Linked DNA regions of Mus musculus: region 2 is reported to be linked to region 1. Evidence: microRNA targets listed by miRTarBase, many of them from high-throughput screens and not tested one by one. Region 1 holds a microRNA gene; the other region holds the end of a gene's coding sequence.
What was found. Region 1 holds the annotated microRNA mmu-miR-343 (UCUCCCUUCAUGUGCCCAGA, at 2,745-2,764, shown strand). A microRNA usually pairs through its seed, bases 2 to 8, with sites in the 3' UTR of a target mRNA and lowers its output. Matches are read on the target gene's strand: a 7mer-m8 pairs with bases 2 to 8, a 7mer-A1 pairs with bases 2 to 7 and ends in A, and an 8mer does both.

Region 2: miRTarBase lists Irf6 as a target of mmu-miR-343. Seed matches in the 3' UTR shown: 7mer-m8 at 2,831-2,837.

Annotation. Positions count from the first base shown.
Region 1 is chr7:19,383,944-19,388,365 of GRCm38, forward strand. It overlaps Mir343 (microRNA 343), which reads left to right and starts at 2,700; the gene lies at 2,700-2,774. Ercc2 (excision repair cross-complementing rodent repair deficiency, complementation group 2) reads left to right here. Exons shown (of 23, transcript NM_007949.5): 3 at 1-78; 4 at 156-218; 5 at 359-472; 6 at 1,680-1,796; 7 at 1,887-2,003; 8 at 2,764-2,887; 9 at 2,989-3,085; 10 at 3,170-3,303; 11 at 3,386-3,554; 12 at 4,197-4,315.
Region 2 is chr1:193,168,810-193,172,809 of GRCm38, forward strand. It overlaps Irf6 (interferon regulatory factor 6), which reads left to right. Exons shown (of 8, transcript NM_016851.2): 8 at 473-3,227. The coding sequence ends at 697. Among named protein-coding and RNA genes, the nearest start is that of A130010J15Rik, 2.8 kb to the right of the region's middle.

The DNA of each region.
Region 1 (4,422 bases):
GGTCATGGAGTCCTGGAGATGCCCTCGGGCACTGGGAAGACAGTGTCCCTATTGGCCCTGATTGTGGCCTATCAGCGGGTGAGTGGCCTTCTGAGTGCCTGGAGTGGGGGCTGAGGGGTGGGGCTGGATGGGGCTGAGGTCCCTGTCACCCACAGGCTTATCCGCTGGAGGTGACCAAACTTATCTACTGCTCACGGACCGTGCCAGAGATTGAGAAGGTGGGCAATGCAGATGGGACCCATGCTCTGCCCCCTCCCCTGGGCCTTGGTGGTCCCCCATCTCTGCCCTCGGTAGCCCGGTGGGCAAGGACTTGTGCTTGCCCTGTGGTCCCCACCTAATGCTCCCATCATCTGAGCAGGTCATAGAAGAGCTTCGTAAGCTACTCAGCTTCTACGAGCAGCAGGAGGGCGAGAAGCTGCCGTTCTTAGGACTGGCTCTGAGCTCAAGAAAGAACCTGTGCATTCATCCCGAGGTGAGCCCTGCGCTGTCACCCTGGGCCACTCCATGCAAGCCCCAGAGGGAACCCGTTGTCAGTATGAGTGGGGCTTGCTGCTCAGTTGTTAGGCCAATGCTCATCCTTATGGCTAAGGGTAGCACCTGTACCAGGATCAGAAACTGCTTACATTCCACATGGCACCTCAGACTCACACATTTGACCTGTGACAGGTCAAAATCTAAATGGTAGCTTACTCAAAGGATTGGGTATTTTTATATACAGGCAAAATAAGATAATTTCATGACAGCCTCACGTCCTGCCTGACAGTATCCATTATGTTCATGCCGGTATTCCACAACCCACACACATCAGGGAACCAAAGCCCTGCTGAGCCAAGTGCTTGCAGAGAAAGGCCACTCAGGGATCGTTGTTTTCTGTTTGGGGTTTTTTTGTTTGTTTGGAGAGAAATTGAGGCACTTGTTTTTTAAAACCTTACATGTTTGTGTGTATGTGTGTGCACGTGGCGGTCAGAGGACAGCTTTGGGAGTCTGTTCTCTCTTCACTGTGTGGTCCCAGGTTGAAATCAGGCTGTCGGGCTTGGCGGTAGACATCCGCATTCACTGAACCATCCAGCTGGCCCTCTGCTTGGCTGGTTCTCTGTGATATGGATTGTCCATACAGCCTTGTGTGTGCTAGCAAGCACTCTCCCTACCACTGAGCTATGCCCCCAGCTCCTTTCCACCTTTTGTTTGGTGGGTTGCCAGGTTCCCAGGTTGACCTGTGTTTGTATTCCTCCTACTTCAGTGTCGGAGTGACTGGGATTGCAGGCACCTGCTGCCATGTCCAGCTCTGATGGGATGATTTTAGCCATGCTCCACACTTACAGTACTGCAGGAAGTTCTTTTAGCAAATAGCAAATCAGCCAGTTGTGGTGGTGCATGCCTTTAATCCCAGTACTCGGGAGGCAGAGGCAGGCAGATCTCTGTGAGTTCAAGGCCAGCCTGATCTATAAAATGAGTCCAGGACAGCCAGGGCTATTATACTGAGAAACTCTGTCTTTAAACACCAAAAACCAAACGAACAAAAGACCAAATACCAAATCAGGTGAAGGTTTCCACTGCCCCCAAACCCTAGCTGACGTACTACTCCTGGTGTCTGAGTTTGGAGACCCAAGTTACAATAGCTGATATGCACCACTTCCTGTCTCTGTTTTATGTTGTCCCCTGACACCCCGCCCCCTCAGGTGACTCCACTGCGCTTTGGGAAGGATGTTGATGGGAAGTGTCACAGCCTAACGGCGTCGTATGTGCGGGCACAGTACCAGCAGGATGCCAGCCTGCCTCACTGCCGCTTCTATGAGGTACAGGGAAGAGCCTAGAACTGGTGAGCAGGGTGGGGGCCACGCCAGAGCCGCTCTCCCTGACCCTGCCACCCTCTGGCCTTGCCCCAGGAATTTGACATCCATGGACGCCAGATGCCGCTCCCTGCGGGCATCTACAACCTGGATGACCTGAAGGCCCTAGGGCAGCGCCAGGGCTGGTGCCCCTACTTCCTGGCTCGATACTCGGTGAAGAGTTGTTTTGTTTCCTTATGAGGCAGGATCTCATTTGTAGCCCAGCTGGCCTCAAACTTGGAATAACCCTGCCTCAGGTTCTCAGCTGTCAGGGGTATAGGCATGAGCCACCGTGCCCATCCTTCTGCTGGCCCATCTGTCTACTTGACTCTGTGCTGTTACGTCTTTATGTCTGTTGTCTGGATCGTCTGTCTCCGTCCTAGTATCTCTGCTTTCTTGTGCCTTGCCTGGGTGGTCCTTGATGTGTTTATAAAAAGATAAAGGGGGAGATATGTTCTATGGAGGTGTGGGGAAAGGGGTGCCTCTGCAGGCTCATGCTGAGGCGTCCCTTACCCCTGAGGGACCAGCCACCACACGACAGTATAGTATAGAATAGGGTTTATTCAGGGCATGGGGAAGGGTGTCAAGAGGATAGTAGAGGCAGAGAAAGGCGGGGGAGGGAGGGAGGGGGGGGTTGCCCATGAGCACATGGAGAGAGATGGGGGAAGGGACTAGAGGATAGAGCAGGGGCAGGAAGGCAGAGCAAAGCAAGAAAGCAAGGGGGGGGGGGCAAGAAGCCCCTTTTATAGTGATTCAGGCACACCTGGCTATTGCCGTGTAACTGTGAGGTGGAGCTTAGACAAAAGGCTAACAGTCCTGTCCATCTTTCCACCCGTCGTTGTGTCTGTCTTTGTGGCACCTCTGTGTACCTGGGATAGAGTGGGTGTGGCGGGGGTAGCAGAGCCCAGGGCAACCTCTCCCTTCATGTGCCCAGATCCTGCATGCCAACGTGGTGGTTTACAGCTACCACTACCTCCTGGACCCCAAGATCGCAGACCTGGTATCCAAAGAGCTGGCTCGCAAGGCTGTTGTGGTCTTCGATGAAGCTCACAACATCGGTGAGGAGGGCGGGCATCAGGGTGTGCAGACAGTGGCAGCCCTCTGCCTCTGCCCCCAGGCCTGCCTGAGCCCGGCTTTCATCCCTTTGCTCTTTCCTCAGACAATGTCTGCATTGACTCCATGAGTGTCAACCTCACCCGCAGGACTCTGGACCGTTGCCAGAGCAACTTAGACACCCTACAGAAGACCGTGCTCAGGTGCCTGTCTGCTCCCACTGTTGTGTGTGCCTCAGTGCCCTGGGCACCTGCCTCATTCCAGCTCCTGTCCCATGTCCCCATCAGGATCAAGGAGACGGATGAGCAGCGGCTGCGGGATGAGTACCGGCGCCTGGTGGAGGGCCTGCGGGAGGCCAGTGTGGCCCGGGAGACAGATGCCCACCTGGCCAACCCTGTGCTGCCGGACGAGGTGCTGCAGGGTGAGCTACTCCCCACTCCCCCACCACCCAGCCCCTGCCCCGCACACGCACCCCTGTACCACCTGACTGGGTCTCCCTGCAGAGGCTGTGCCTGGCTCCATCCGTACGGCTGAGCACTTCCTGGGCTTTCTGCGGCGGCTGCTGGAGTATGTCAAGTGGCGTCTGCGCGTGCAGCATGTGGTGCAGGAGAGTCCACCTGCCTTTCTGAGCGGCCTGGCCCAGCGGGTGTGCATCCAGCGCAAGCCCCTCAGGTGCGGCCTGCACGGGGAACCACGGGCCCAAGCCTTGTTGCTGATGATAAAGGGGTCTGGACCATAGATAAGGCTAAGGGGCAGGTCAGAACTGGATGTGGAGGGCATCCATTGGACTGTGTGGTTGGCAGTGAGTGCCGCAGCCACGTGTCCCTATGTTGGGTGATGAGCAGGTGACACAGCCTTTGTGAGGCTAAGAAAGTATGTGGCTATTCCTCCTTGAGCGTTGGGCCCGTGACACTGGCTGGACAGAAACAGAGTGACTGCTAGCTGGGAGTCTTTTTTTTTTTTTTTTTGGTTTGGTTTTTTGAGACAGGGTTTCTCTGTGTAGCCCTGGCTGTCCTGGAACTCACTTTGTAGACCAGGCTGGCTTCGAACTCAGAAATCCGCCTGCCTCTGCCTCCCGAGTGCTGGGATTAAAGGCGTGCGCCACCACGCCGGGCTCTAGCCGGGAGTCTTAACAGGATATTGCGTGTGAGCAGTGAGCCTGTGCACTGTATGTGCTGTGCTCCAGCCTGGAGTGGTAGCTCTGGGGGTCTTCTACAGTATGGGGTAGCTTCACACAATGCCCAGGTGCCCAGGGAAACATGGTGAGAGTCGGGCCTGTTGCTGCTTCCCGCTCCTGACCCCGTTGCCTCTCAGGTTCTGTGCTGAACGCCTGCGCTCCCTGCTGCACACCCTGGAGATTGCCGACCTGGCCGACTTCTCCCCGCTCACACTCCTTGCTAACTTCGCCACTCTCGTCAGCACTTACGCCAAGGGTGAGCTCGCCTTTCTACTGGGGATCTGACAGCAGGACTTGGGGGTCAGCCACATGGGTGGGGCATTAGCAGGGGGCAAGACCATACAGAGTGCCTGAGTGAGGAGC
Region 2 (4,000 bases), not on the chromosome of region 1:
AACATGGATGGACAATTTAACGGACACTTCACCTTTCATTCTCCTGCTGATGTTAGGATCTTGCTAAGACCTTATAAGAAGTAACATTTTCTATATCTTCTTATAAAACATTTTGGCCATGTTTGTAAGATGTAACTGTTCTGGGGATGGTTGCAAGTCTACTTGGGGTTTTGCATGGACTTATACACCAAGATAGGCAGTGGATGCCTCTTGATTCACAGTTTTGCTAAGTAAGCCACCACCTAGCTAGGCATGTGGAATGATGCTACATCCAGGTTCCTTTCTTTGAATTAACCAACATCTAAGGTAAACCTTGACTAGTGAGATATAGCTGTTCACTAGTATCTAGATGTTGGTGGGGAAGCCGAGTGCTTCTCAGGGCCTCAGAGCTTCTTCATCAATGTCGGGGCCTCTCCTGCTACTTAAAAATGCCTGTTCTTCAGTGGAAACTTGTGTGCTCTTGCCTGAACAGGTCATCCCAGTGGTGGCTCGCATGATCTATGAGATGTTTTCTGGTGATTTTACCCGGTCCTTTGACAGTGGCAGCGTTCGCCTGCAGATCTCCACTCCAGACATCAAAGATAACATCGTTGCTCAGCTCAAGCAGCTGTACCGCATCCTTCAAACCCAGGAGAGCTGGCAGCCCATGCAGCCTGCCCCCAGCATGCAGCTGCCACAGGCTCTGCCTGCCCAGTGACCCAGACTGCTGTGCGTGTCCTCTTCTCTCCTCTCTCATTTTTATATTGTACATAAGGATTTTTTTTAAGTTCAGGTTTAGTCAATTTTTAAATCTCCTTTCTATAACCTCATTAGAAGTCTGAGACTTTCCAAATATGCCTAGTTTTAAAAGTTCCTCTAACTTATCAAGGTATCATCCCCTGAGGGGTTCCTTTTAGATCTTCCATGGTTGGTGTAGGAGATTTGATGTCGAAGTTTAGACACCAGAACTCTAACTGCAGCTGTGTTTCCGTCTGACGTTAGACAGATCGTTTAACTGGAGGGCATCAGATGCATCACTTGTAAATAAAAAAGGTTTGGAATGATGCCCAAAATTGCATTTGGCCTTAAAACTCTGACTCGATTATTTTCCTCTACTTGTTTAAGACAAAACTGCCTGAACAGGACCCTTCTGCATTGTGTTTAGACCACATGGTTTCCCCTTCTTGCTTTCATCCAAGTTCCTTGAACACTGATCTGATCTGAATTGAGCTCTGTTTGACCTGTTCTGCTAGTACAGTCAGCTGGCTCCCTGCTGGAGGAAGTAAGAGAGGAGCTGATTGGTTGCCTAGCAACCAGTCTTGATATCTAAATAGAGATGGTGCCAAGGTCTGAAAGTCACCCAACCTGTGTGTGGAGTAAAAGCTCATAAAGTAAGTATTAAAGGAGAAGATGGTGACATGGAAAGCCAAAGGATTCCACGAGAGTAAGAATGGTTGTCAGTGGAGGGACTCCATGGGAGAATTGTCACCAGCCACATACCTTGTCACCACTCACACCATCTTATATGTGAAGTTGATGAGCAACTATGATTCCATGTGCCTCATGGCAGACACTCTCCTCTTCCTTATTTTCTTCTCAAAGACCATCTGGAGGGAGTCGGGCATCTGTGATATGCTCTGACAACAAAATTGACCGTTCTTGTTCAGAGACTTTCAAGAGTCTGACATTCAGATTTTTCCATTTATGAAAATGAGGTGTTTCATATATTAAACGTCTGGATAGTGCTCTTCTGGGGAAGGCTCAAACCTGCTTATATCACTTGTTGTGAGCCATGGAGACAGTGAAGAACAGTGCAGTTATGTCTCATAGAGTGTCTGCTCCAGTCCCTTCTCATAATTTGAATTCCAAGACTTAGATGAAAAGTAAGATGGGTCTCTCTGGTTATAGCCTCAATCCTCTTGAATACTGGTGTCTATCTGTTTCATGTCACAGGGATATGCCTCTCTGTACAGTCTGCTGCCCTTACACTAAAGGTAGCACCTTTTGCTTTTCTAGCCACTGAAAGTTGGGATGCATTTAAAGTCTAACAGCTCAACCTAATTTTGGTGGCAGTGAGACTTACTTAGGATGCTTAAGATTTGGTTTAAAGTTCTCTTAGAGATTATTAAAAGGAGGACCAAGAGAAATCTGGGTGAGTTAGGAAAGGCAGGTGTCTCTGTGAATAAGAGCAAAGTATAATTTTATACACATGGCCATAGTATGAACATGTCAGAGTAAAACTCTTTGTATGCTAACTAAAAATGTTTAAAGAGAAGTTTAGGTAGAAGTTTAAAAGTTAGGCTTTTATAGACCAGGAATCATGCAAGGCTAGGGACTTTATTCTTTTTTGGAGGAATGAGTAGCATCATTTGGTGAGATGAAGTGAGGGAGTCTTGATGTGTGGATGCTCCATCTGGAAGCTCAGAGTTAAAAGTAACCCATTACAGAGAAAGTGGGAGGGTAGCTGTGGAATAGGGGACATTTCCTTTCCCTTCTGTGACAAGTCAGCAGGCTATGAGGAATGTCCAGACAACAGGATCTGGTAAAGAATGTTGAAAAATATGTTCTGAGGGCTATGGATTGAGTTATTAGTGTGTGACCATAATGAAAAATTGACAAATATGTTGGGACAATGCATGATTTTGTGTGGTCCTATCTAGGCAGTCCAGTTTCTTGTCTTGCATCTTTTTCGGAATGCTGGGAGCACACACTACATGCAGGATCTTCTCTTGTCATATTCAGTAAGCTTTCTCTGGTTTTAGTAGATACCAAGTCCCCAGGAGCTCTAAGTTTCCCAATGCTCCCATTCACTCTCCAGCTGTCTTCTTCCTGCCTTCATTTGAAGACTCAGAAGGGAGGAGGATTTCCCCCAGTTCCTCCTTTTCCTTACTGTGCACTCCAGATTAACTCCAATGTTAAAAGAACCACTACAGATAAACCCTGAAGGCAGATGCTGAATCTCATCTCCTCTCCACAGTTCTCAGTTGTATGTTCATGTAGCATCTTAAACTTTAAGAGTAACTGTGTCGTTTGTAAATTGCTCCGCATCTATGTTCTGCTTGACTGACTGCCAACTTGGAAAGTCAAAACTGTTTGTCTTAGATTTATTGCCAGGTCTTTAGCAGTGTCTGATACAGTGTGTTCTAAGATATTTGTGCTGTAATAAATGACCTACGTCTTTCAATTTGGAGATTTATTGCTAACTATCATGAGAACGTAAAATAAACTTGGGAAGAAAAAAATATAAAGCTAGAGTACTGGTTCTATCAATTTTTAGTACTGACTCCCCCTGAGCTGAGAACCTAAGTTAGACTGGCAGGCCCTACAAACTGATCCTCCTTACATACTGTCTGTCTGTCTTTAACACACTGCTGGTCCTTTTTGGTATGAAGGTACCAGCATAGCACCACTGTAAAACCTCCAGTCTGGGTCTCCATTTTGCTGCCCATAACTTGGGGCCATTTGTCCAGGCTAGAGTTTTCTTAAGATTTCCTTCACAGAAGATATAGGCAAATTCCTTATGTCAACATTTGACCTTCCTATCTGCTGTAAGACTTCTCTGGAGAAAGGAACAAGGCACTTTCTAAGGTCCTAATGGCAGATGAGGGTACAGTTCCACCGAAGTTCAATCTGGGGTACCAAGGAGTCCATTAGGTTTACTTACAAAGCAGTGGGTCAGAGGTTATGGTCAGGGGCATGGGTGGCCTTGAAGCGGCCAGTAAGGATGTTAACTCACCTTTGGCTTCCTAGATGGTGTTCCCCTCCTTAGTTTTGCCCATCCTCCTTGAGGTATAGATAACTCCTTGAGGTATCATTCAATTAGGGTAGACTCTAACCTCAGAACTTCCGAGGCTGAGGCAGGAGGATTGTCATGTTTGAGGAATACATAGCAAGACATTGTCTCAACAAACAAATCCCCACCACAACAGTGTGGCTGTAGAGATGAGACCTGCTTTTTCTCCCAAAGATTTGAATTCCGTTCCCAAAGCCCGTGTTAGGCAGCTCACAATATTTTTAACTT